Nothobranchius furzeri: one gene and its partner. The protein of the gene in region 1 purifies or fractionates together with the protein of each later gene. This does not show direct contact. Links are inferred from orthologs where the notes say so. Each region holds a gene or a part of one and is shown on either strand. Other genes may lie near its edges.

Region 1 (5,510 bases):
TTTTTTTTTTTTTTACAAAAAATGCAACACAAAAATTCTCAAAACATGAATAAAGATGAAGATATTTAAACTAAAATTTATATGAAAACACAAAATTCAAAACAGTTGGAACTGAACTTTTAAAATCTAAAAACAAAAACATCGCTTTCTGCTTTCTTGATTACTTATTGTTTTTTCCTGTTTTTCACTCACTCATACAACTTAAGTGTTACTTCAGTAGTGAATAACTGCCTGCAAAACCAACAGTAAAAAAAGGTTAGAGGTTTATTCTATACAAGCTTTTCTTCCTCCACCAGATCTATGCTTGCAATAGCCGCAATGCATTCGTCCAAAGTAGTCGCAGATCTGCAACATTGAAGCGCAGTCGCGATGGTTCATTGTTATTAAAATCTCTACCACTGGCAAAATTTAAATAATTTGTACCACTTACTGTTAATATCGCCAATAACTACATGATGCATGTCACAAGATTCATTAATATTTGGCTTAATGTTCCTTGTTTATTTGTTGGGTTTCAGTTAACTAATTGCTGGTATGAGTTGCAGTTTTGCTAGTTCCCAAAGACTGCTAACTGTGCTGTAACTTTCAGACTGTGTTCTGTTTTTGCAGGATTGGTTGAAATGTCTTCAAAATTTCTGCAGTAACCTAAGAAAAACCACAGCACCCACTTCCAACAAGAGGCTTAGACAGGTAAGTGTGAATATTAAAACATAGTGAAGCAGCTAAAAAACAAAAACTAAGTTAAAAGGTATTGGGAACATTTTGACTAGTGATGGACTTTTGGGGACAGTGTCGTTTTAAATTTCCAGTGTTACAACAGGTCTTGTTCTTCTATTGAAATCTGACATTCAGGACCATTTCCACAGATTGACTCAAACAAACAGCCCAGTCCTAATTTAGTTCCTTGGTTTGGGTGGCATTGAGGATTAATTTGGCTCCTCTGCACTATCCAGGCCTCCCATTGATGATCCCTGCTATAGTAGTGTCATCTGCAAATGTGATGATCTAGTAAGGGCATCGAGGACATCATAAATCTAGAGGGTAAAAAGTAGGAAGCCAAGCTCGTAGATAACTGACACTCTTTAAGTTTCAGAGCTTTCTTTGTCAGCTAAGTCAAAAATGCATGTATCCTGAGGCAGATAGAGATTGATCCAGATTTGTCAGGTGTCGGGAGCAAAACAGCGAAGTTGTAATTATGGCGAATAACATTCATTTTGTGTGCGTTTCCTCTCAGGTGAGCAGTCTGGTGCTGTATGTGGAGGAGGCCCACAAGCTGCCTATGAAGTATTTCACCAACCCCTACTGTAACATCTTCCTGAACAGCATCCAGGTTGCTAAAACACACCCGAGAGAAGGGCAGAATCCTGTCTTCACTGAAGAGTTCATCTTTGAGTGAGTCGGTGCTCGTTCGTCTCCTTTCGTTTCACGATTGTGTTAGCAAAATTCCAACATGCCTTTTTTGTGTTTTCAGTGACCTGTCCAGTGAAATTAACCGATTTGAAATCAGTCTGAGCAACAAATCAAAAAAGAGCAAAGAAAATGATATTTGTAAGTGATCATAAATTAGAGAAAGTAATAACCTTCAACTCTACAGTCCCATTTTGATCTTTTCCTTGTTGTCCTCCTCTTTGTCTCCTCTCAGTGTTTATGCGGTGCCAGCTAAACAGTTTGAATAAGGGTCAGATGAATGATGAGTGGTACTCTTTGAGCTCCCACGTTCCTCTGAAGGGCATCGAGCCCGGCACCTTGCGTATACGCTCCCGATACTCCATGGAGAAGATCATGCCTGAAGAAGAGTACAGTGAATTCAAGGAGGTCAGGCCTGCTGAGAAGTGGTTCTGATTGCAACTTTTTGGCTGCAAGCATGGCTGTTGAATCAAAACGGTCTCTTTATGTCCTCTACAGATGATTTTGCAGAAAGATTTCCATGTAATCTATGCTTTGGCCCACGTGTGTGGTCAGGACAGGACGTTACTGGCGAGCCTCCTCCTGCGCATCTTTAGACATGAGAAGGCTGAAGCATCCTTATTAATGAGACTCAACGACAGAGAAATCAGCATGGAGGGTGAGACGCAGACGGCGTGATTTGATGTGAGGTCATTTTAAAACAGCTTAACTTGAGTTTGACTTGGTAACGCGCATCCTCCCAGATGAAGCCACAACACTGTTCAGAGCTACCACGCTGGCCAGCACGCTCATGGAGCAGTACATGAAGGCCACCGCCACTCCCTTTGTCCATCACGCACTCAAAGACACCATCCTGAAGATTATGGAAAGCAAACAGTCGTGCGAGGTAAATGAATAAACCTGCATGTAGCCTTCATTCAGCACATAGAAATAATTATCTGTCCAAATGTCCTCTTTCATGTGTCCCTCCCTTCCTTTGCAGTTGAACCCTTCCAAACTGGAGAAGAACGAGGACGTGAACATGAACTTGACCCATCTTCTAAACATTTTGTCTGAGCTAGTGGAGAAGATCTTCATGGCTGCTGAAATCTTACCATCGTAAGCTCCTAACACCTAAAGAGCAAGTCACCCTCAAATCAACTTTTATTTTTTCTGATAAACTATATAAATCCGTATCTGATTGTGCTGCAGACTCGTGTAGTCAATAGTTTTGCACTTTAGTGCATTTTAGTACACATTTCAATTTTCTGCCTAAAACTGTCAGTGTTTTGTCGTTGTCCGGTAAAAACTCTGCACTGCATTTGATATAAAATCTGCCATCGCTATTGGCTAAGGCCTAGTCCACACGTAGCCGGGGTTTTTTAAAAACGAATATCCGCCCCTCCAAAAACTTGCATCCACACCACCGCGTTTTAAAAACAAACTCTGTCCACACGTACCCGGATAAATACGTTGTTAAGGACATGCCAGACCTGTAGGCGGCAGTACTTCCCCCGTTCTTAACCTCGTCCTTCGTCTGTGGTCTTCCGCAAGGAGCAGTAATTCCGCTTGTAAAAACAAACAAGCAGAAAGCGCTTGGACAATTGATGGATCGGGTAGTGACAGAGCGCAGGTTTGAGGGCTTCCATGATGTCGGCTAGTGTAAACACAGGTTGCACACGTGATGTCAGCATTTTTTTGTCGCGGAAAGTGACGTTGCGGACCTTAACACTCCGGTTTTGTCTGTCCACACGCAGACACCCAAAACGGAGAAAACGCAGATCTTCACTTTGGCCGGAGTTTTTAAAAAGATCCGTTTTCGTGTGAAAAAACTCCGTTTTCGTGTGGATGACAGGCCAAAACGTAGAAAAATATCTGCGTTTTGGCAGATCCCCGGCTACGTGTGGACAGGGCCTAAGAGGTACCTTAGAATGTTAGCTGGTACCATATGATGTCACAATGTCATTGTGAGCATGTGTGTGTGTTTGTTAGTGGCTCCGCCCCTTTGGTCTGCTAGGCAACAGCATTTGTTGCATTTTTCAAACAGGAAATGGGAGTGGAGTAATACCCTGGTAGGGGGTGACTTGCTCTTTAAAAAATGGTTTTACTGCTTCATCATTAGACCCAAAGAGTTCGGCTGATTTTGTGTGTGTGTGTGTGTGTGTGTGTGTGTGTGTGTGTGTGTGTGTGTGTGTGTGTGTGTGTGTGTGTGTGTGTGTGTGTGTGTGTGTGTGTGTGTCACACAGGACATTGAGGTATATCTACGGGTGCCTGCAGATGTCTGTCAAAAGGAAGTGGCCCAATAACACCACCATGAGGACGAGAGTTGTAAGGTAAACCAGCGTCTCTAAACAATCTGAATACTTTGATGGGTAAAGGCTGTTTTTGCTGACTAACTTCCACCTCATCTGTATTTTTCTAGTGGTTTTGTCTTTTTAAGACTGATCTGCCCTGCCATCCTCAACCCCCGAATGTTCAACATCATAGCTGGTAAGTGTGTGCTAAAAAAACATCCCGAATATGTTTTTACTGCAATATGGAAATCAGTTTTTATGGACTCTTGCTCCTCCCCTCCAGACCCTCCATCTTCAACAGCAGGTAGGACCCTCACACTGGTGGCCAAGTCTGTCCAGAACCTGGCCAACCTGGTTGAGTTTGGTGCTAAGGTATGAGCTCATCCCATTTAAACTTTCACAAAATGCAAAAGTATTTAGCTAATTACTGATTTATTTTTATTGACAGGAGCCCTACATGGAGGGTGTGAACCCTTTCATAAAAAATAACAAACATCGGATGATCATGTTCTTGGATGAGTTAGGGGTGAGTTTCATTTCTTACTTTTTGGATCAAACCTTTAAGCTGAATATCTGATTTGTTTAAAACTTTAATGGTTGGTATAGTATCTTTGAGAGACTGAGGCCCTCTCTTCACAAGCAGACAATAAAAAACTGTCACGTTTGTAGAATGTCCCAGAGCTGCCGGACACCATAGAGAGCTTTAGGGCCGACCTGCCGCGGGACCTGGCCGCGCTGCACGAGATCTGTGTCGCACACTCAGCTGAACTTCGCATCCTGAGCAATGAGAGGGGCGCACAGCAGGTCAGAGACTGACGATCACAGCTCCAAGAGTTCAAAGCTTGCTCTAGAAGTCATCGTACTCTTGTTTTTTTCTTCAGCATGTGTTGAAAAAGCTGCTGGCCATCACCGAGCTCCTCCAGCAGAAGCAGGCTCAGTATGCCATGTCCAACAGCAACAGGTAGTACTGCTCTCCTCTCGTCTCCCCATCCAGTTCACCTCCCCCCTGGAGTGCAGCCCTGCGGAGGCCTAGCATGCTCTTCCTTCATCACCATGGCAACCCATCCACCACTCTCCATCATGTCTTCCTTTGATAGTACCTCCCACCCACCCTCTCCTATCATCTTGTCTGGTTCACCACAAGACAGCTATGCAACAGCAGCAACTGAGAACAAGCAACTTAAAACAAAACTGACAGCTGCACAGGAAAAACGTTTCCTCACGGACTCTGTTTGTACTCTGATGTGTGTACATTTGATTTTCTTCGTCAAGAGGGCCAAATATTTGATTTTCTAACGGTTTCTTTGGCAATCTGCTACCAAAACCCAGCAGGCACAAAGTGACTCGAGTAGTTCTCATCTCAGCGCCCCTCTTTCCTTTAAGTGATAACTGGATCCTGAGCAGTGATGCTTTTATACTGTAACTCCTGACTGAATTTTAAAGTTACAGTATCTGCAAAGTGCTGACAAAAATAATTTGTCCTTTTCTGTCTTTGTTTTCTAGATTTGAAACAAAGTCTTTGCAAAAAATCTGGTTATTTTATATGAATAAATTCTCTTGCTGGAATCATGAGTTTAAAAGTGAGAAACTTGATTTTTTTTCTTCCTGGTTATAATTGTTTTCAGCTATAATAAAGATTTTCCTTTGCTAACTCGTGGCCAGACAGGACAAATAATCAAAGAAACCAAGTAAAATAAAATGTTTACAGCAGTAAATTTTTAGTACAGACTGTATAACAGGCATGCATGCACTTATTAAACTGTTTTTGTTAAGTAGCTTATGGAGTTTTTTCATTGTGACCTAAAAAGATGAAGGTATACACACATCATT
Region 2 (6,005 bases), on another chromosome or scaffold:
AGTTCCACAACCATTGTTTTCTGGGAACCTCACTTGACTTGATCGTGAGCCTGCTACCTGCTAGCATTTGCTAATCTGCCCAGTTACTTTAGATCCCAAAGTTTGGACGGTTTCTGCCTTTGTGTTTTTGCTGGTTTCTTTCTTTTCTTCCACAGCATCTAGATTAGCACATTGTGCATCAGTGAAAAGCATCTTCTTTACAAACTAACCAGCAACTTACCTTTGTTCAAAAGTTCAGGGCAAAAAAACAACTTTAAAAGATGTTACACGAGTGCTACGTCTAAAACTGTTTATCGCACGTGCCTCATATACGTCTCTCGTTCTGATCTGCCTCGGTCTGCTCTGCTGCCGCATACAGATGAGCTGCACACATTGACTGCTACATAAAGGTTGCATGACACTAAGGCGATGGGACGAATGAATCGGCCATCGGCGATGGGCTGAGCCGTTACGGTAGGTTTTTTTTTTACTGGAGGCGATTTGTTTATTTATTTATTAGGCCATGAGTTTGTTTGCTATTGACAAATATTTTACACGTTACACACAGAGAACATCGCAGAGGTAACAATCAAGAAAAGATCTCCATCAGCGCATCTGAGCCTTTTCTCACCTCCTCCTCTTCTCGCTGCTGACAGTGCGCGCACAAGCAGCGCGCTGAGGAGGAGCTCGGAGAGCGCCTGTGACACACTCGACATCGTGCACAACAGTGCATTGTTGTTGTGGGTCAGAATTATATTTAAAAAAAAGCAGACGGAAAATGCTAATATTTATAGTGGGGGAGTGGGGGGGGGGGGGGGGGCAAATGTTTGTGTGCAAATGTTTGTGAGGGGGTGTGATTGGTTTCCAGTTAACCGGCTATTAACTGTTAAGGGGCGTCAATAACTGGTTAAAGAAATTTTGGAAAACGTGCATCCCTAGTATGTGCTCCAAGAATGAGGTCAGCTGACTACCTGAACATACTGAATGACCAGGTTATTCCATCTTCCCTGATGGCACGGGCATATTCCAAGATGACAATACCAGGATTCATCAGGCTCAGATGGTGAAAGAGTGGTTCAAGGAGCATGAAACATCATTTTCACGCATCGTTTTGTCACCACAGAGTCCTGACCTTAATCCCATTGAGAATTTTTGGATGTACTGAAGAAGGCTTTGTGCAGCGGTCAGACGCTACCATCATCAGTGCAGGGTCTTGGTGAAACAATAATGCAATACTGGGTGGAAATAAATCTTGAGACGCTGCAGAAGCTTATTGAAACAACGCAACATTAAATGTCAAAGCTAAAGGCAGTCCAACGAAATATATGAGTGTGTGACCTTTTTATGGGTCAAGCAGCATATTTATGTGCTGCTAAACAAAAGTTTTGTTTAAGAATTTATTCCAGGACTGGACAACATCTCAATTTTTTTTTAAATGTTGACATATTATAAAACAAGATAGAAGATGATGCAGTAACATATAGACATAATTGTTTATATAAACTTGATATTTCATATTTATATGGAATTATCACATCTTATTGATCATTTAACACAGATGCAGCCAATCCTTAACACTACAATCGCTAGCTTGCTGGTTCTCCGTCTCCGACTACAAGTAGTCATAAGTAGTAATATATTCTTACAAGTACGGACAATTGTAGGCAAAAAAATAAAATAAAATAAAAACTTAGAGAAAATGTGTTCTCTAGGGGGAAAAAAGCTGAAGTTGTATTTCTAGCATAACTTTTACATAAACTCACATAAATTGTCACAAAAGGATATAGGTGAACATGAGCTGAAGCTCAGAATTATTTAGCTTTTTCAGCATGTTTGTTTTGCCAAACCAGAGATTTCTAGGGTTGCATGTCTCGATGATTGCTACTTTGTGGGTCTGAAGCTGAAAGGTTTGAGAGCCACTGTGTCAGTTAAAGCATGACAGAGACCACAAAACAAAACAGACAAAAACTTGAGTGGGACACAAGAATGTACAGCACCTGCCACAGAGCGCTGGGCGAAGCTGGAGGTAAATTCCCTCTTACAGAGTATGTGGACATAAAAAGGACCACATTGGATCTGAACTTCATTTTCTATGTTGTTGGCCACAGGAAATGCTCAAAGACAGCTTCAAGAGCGAGGGAATGAGAAGTCTGTTAAAGTTAGTTGGGAAAGTCACTTGTCCAGCAGAGGTGTCGGCTAAAGCACAAATCCAAACAAAGCTGAAACTATTCTTCTAATGTGATTAGTTTCAGATAAGGTGTTAGGAGTTTCTTAAGAATGAGAATAAGCCTGCATAAATGGTTAAACAACACGTAAAAGCTTTGAGGCAACATTGGCTGACATACATCGGCGGCGCTTCCACCAAGTAATGCCAGTACGACATTCTGCACAAAATACAACGATAAAAAAGTTAAAACTTATTTAATTGTGTGTTGAGCTGTCCTGAATGCAGGTTAGGTTGTGCTATAAAAACAAAAGGAAAAAGCATCGCAACTTTCTGTATTCATCTGCCACAAACCTTTAAATTTAATTTACAGGGTGATCGCTGACCGTGTGTGTGTGTGTGTGTGTGTGTGTGTGTGTGTGGTGTGTGTGTGTGTGTGTGTTCGTTCAGAAGCTACTCACTCTCTCCATCAATTTTATCCGTTCCCCGAGTCCAGATAACAGTCCTAGTCTCCAATTTCACTTGAAAAGTCCTCCTTTCTGGGCGCTGTGATTTTTTAGAATAAAACAGAGTCAGCACAGTGCCCAGCTCCAGATCCCGGCACAGACTGTTCTCCTCCGCGTGGTCCGTCCACGGAATAGGTCCATTGGAAAAGAAGCCTGAGTTTCCAGCCATGTTCACTTCCCCTGTTTGTTTTACGTTTCCTCTTAGAACAATCTGCTCAGTCCGGGCCTAGACAGGGTTACCTACAAATGAGGAGGAGAATCCATGAAAATGCCCCAGTTATGTGTGCACTCTACACAGCTGCAAAAGGGTCAGGAAAAGACAATAATAATATAAGAAAACTGTTGCACACACTTGTACATTTATGTCAGCAGATGTGCAGACAGATACGTTCATCTCTCTGAACAGCTCTCACCTACATTTAAGGGCGCATCTTACAATATTCTCATGCAAACTTACTAAATGTTGCATTGATTTGTTTATAGAATTGTATCTGAATAAATTGTTTTCTTAGGCGACCATTTTTGACTTATTTAGAGCATTAAGAAACAATAATATGCTTTGTACGATTGACATCTTGATGTTTAATCACACAGGCTAAAACATATATAACGCGCATGCATCAAAAATATTTTAATCCATTGAATTTAGATTTTTAAGTACAGATTTTTTATTAAATACAGAGTACAGCACGATTACAGATCATAAAGAGTTACCCGTCAACCATTGGTGTAAATAAATCAGAGATCCGATCTAAACTCCTTAAATAATGATGGATTATTTATTTCACATGTGTCTGAACACATTTAGCTTTTAGGCCGGTGGAAGCAGGTATGCTTATTCTGATTTAAGCGTGTAGAAAAAACCAACAGGCCTGTGAACTGCTGCGGGAAAACAAAAGTTTTGACTCAAATGCATCATTTTGGAAATACGACAGGTGAGAAAAACAAGAAAAATTGGATCGCAGCGTAACATGAAGTGTCTATTAACTATTTTCCCAGCGTGGAAAAAGGGTCCGGTGAGGGCTACCCACCGTCCATTTGGCTGGGCCCAGGAAGAATATGGCTGGCTTCTCCCAAGAAAAAGGACAGGTAGCGGCTTTAATCGTCTCCCTTCTCTCATTTCTTCTCTTTAATGTGCGGAGAACAATTTACAAGAAAAACAACAAAAAACAACAAGCAAAAAGAGCTGTGCTGGAAGTGCCTACCGCAACAATCTCGGCCCGACCGCTACAGCACATCTCCAAAGCCTGCTCTCCTCGTCTCCCGTCGTCTTTTCCCTGCTTCTTTGCTCCACGAGCCCGGTTTCCCGTTATTAAATCATCGCCAGGGCCTCGAACGGCGCTGCTCTCCCAACGACAACAGTTCCAGCAGTTTCCTTTACTCCCCTCCAGTCGTCCATAGAGAGAAACAGGCAGGCAGAAAGCGAACCGTGGCAAGACTACGCAAGTTTGCTCTCTCTGACCAGCTCTATTACTCCCCCCACCTTCGCAGCAAACCACACTTCCGTTGCGGCCTTTCACAATAAAGCACGCATTCACAGTAAGCATTGTGCAGAAATGAATTTGCAGACCACGTTGCAAAGGATAAACGTAAAGGGGGAAAAATAATAAAACTTGTTCTACTCACAGTTTTGCCACGTTGCTCTTGCTAAATATTTTAACAAAACATGGATTTTATATATTTTTTCTAAATTCGAAGCAATTTTTGATACGCATTTTCTGTTACGTCTACAGTGAGTTATAAGAATAAAATTATCAAGTGACATGGGTCAAATCACCGTATAGCAAAACATCCCATTCAATGCCATCCTTATTTCGCAAAAACAAGACAAAACAGTACTGTCTTTTTTTCTTTTTTCAGTCAGATTTTACATATTTTCTTTTTAGTCTTTATAGTATTTACACAAACTTGCGGCGGTTTTCACATTTTCACTTCGTGTAATTTAGCTTTAAACCTTTTATAAGCAGCCATAATATTTAAATGTGGAGCCACTTATAATTTCATAATTTACACACTTTATTTATTTGACATATAAACTTGTAATCTACATCTGTAGGCATTAGACAAACTCATATATAAATCTTTAGTGACACACGAAGTCATGCTTTTGTACTGAAGTCAATTAAGAAACTTCCGGGAATTCCTTGCAGTAACAACGTGAACTTGATTATTCTAAGGAGTACCATCTCGACTATTCAGGATTAGATTTTTATTCTCAACCTTAATCACAATATCAGTCCGTTAACTTTATAATTATTTTCTCTTCACTTTCATTTTTAATGTATTTATTAGTTTTTCATTGAAAACCCACCAAAACAGAGATTAAATAGGTGAAAGTGGAATTAGTATTGGTGATTGCTGGACTTTGACCCTGTTGGTTGAATAGCTGCTGATTATCTCATCGAAGAATGTTATTTTTTCTGTTTTTATCTCTGACCATATATCTGACCACATGTAAGCAAATAAAACGACAAACAAAAGACAAACAGGACAAAGTTGATGTTTTATTCTGAAAACTACAAAGCTCAAAAGAACAACAGCTTTGAAACAATGCCAAGATTGTGTCTAAAATGATTTAATAACAAGAAATATTGATGACAAAAGTTAGAATATCCATTTATGTTAAGAAAATGTTCTAAGACAAGTTCTGCTTTATCATAACAATTTAAAAAAACAGCACACAACAAGGGTAGATGATGTGATTTTTTTGGCAATCTCCACACCCCTCCATCAGAGAGAAGAGTCTCCTTTAGCTTCAGGACACAAAACATATGCTTCAGCTTAGGCATGCCGATGGGGGGTCTGTAGGAGGAATTGGGGGGGGGGGGGGGGGGGGGGGGGGGGTTAAAAGAGCGGGGGAAAAGGAGGAATCCTGGTATGGGGGCCCATCTAATATTATATCGTCCCGGGCCCAAGCAAGGCTTTCAGCTGGCCTGCTTCAGTTATTTCATGTAACCAAGATCAACGTTACGCCCTGTTTGCTGTAAAACTGTGGAAACACACACGTGCTCAGGAGCTGCACGTGAAGAGCTTTTTGTTGAGGATGCATACGGCACGCATAAAAAAAAAACAATCACTGAAAGGTGACAAAATCCCTGAAATAAAAACTCAAGACTGCATGGATAAGAGACAACATTCGGTGTGCCTCCACATTGCCTCGCTCTTACTATCCCAGTCAAACCATTGCAGCTGAAAGTCACCCCATCCTCACCTTTCATGATGTTCCTAGCAGTCTTCCACACACAATAATTTATTATTCTATGACAATATTAGGTTCTTCCAATAGATCTGATGGCTTACAAATCTTAGAACATGTCATCTGACACAACATAATACTAATGTGTTCATACTTGTGT

What was found.
Region 2: the proteins of rasa1a (region 1) and plcg1 purify together in Homo sapiens (affinity purification with western blotting; 3 studies listed by BioGRID and IntAct, with this or other methods). This does not show direct contact. The link is inferred for Nothobranchius furzeri from reciprocal best matches to the Homo sapiens genes RASA1 and PLCG1.

The regions. Positions count from the first base shown.
Region 1 is NC_091757.1:43,328,928-43,334,437, reverse strand, and holds part of rasa1a (ras GTPase-activating protein 1), read left to right. Parts: intron 1-609; coding exon 610-690; intron 691-1,234; coding exon 1,235-1,392; intron 1,393-1,471; coding exon 1,472-1,548; intron 1,549-1,642; coding exon 1,643-1,815; intron 1,816-1,905; coding exon 1,906-2,065; intron 2,066-2,150; coding exon 2,151-2,293; intron 2,294-2,389; coding exon 2,390-2,505; intron 2,506-3,632; coding exon 3,633-3,719; intron 3,720-3,808; coding exon 3,809-3,876; intron 3,877-3,963; coding exon 3,964-4,052; intron 4,053-4,128; coding exon 4,129-4,206; intron 4,207-4,349; coding exon 4,350-4,484; intron 4,485-4,561; coding exon 4,562-4,641; coding exon of another isoform or gene 4,642-4,645; exon of another isoform or gene 4,646-5,252; intron 5,253-5,508; exon of another isoform or gene 5,509-5,510. UniProt on the Homo sapiens protein: Inhibitory regulator of the Ras-cyclic AMP pathway. Stimulates the GTPase of normal but not oncogenic Ras p21; this stimulation may be further increased in the presence of NCK1.
Region 2 is NC_091755.1:60,774,586-60,780,590, reverse strand, and holds the start of plcg1 (1-phosphatidylinositol 4,5-bisphosphate phosphodiesterase gamma-1), read right to left. Parts: upstream 4,089-6,005; 5' UTR 3,855-4,088; intron 3,777-3,854; exon of another isoform or gene 3,681-3,776; intron 2,890-3,680; 5' UTR 2,819-2,889; coding exon 2,605-2,818; intron 1-2,604. UniProt on the Homo sapiens protein: Mediates the production of the second messenger molecules diacylglycerol (DAG) and inositol 1,4,5-trisphosphate (IP3). Plays an important role in the regulation of intracellular signaling cascades.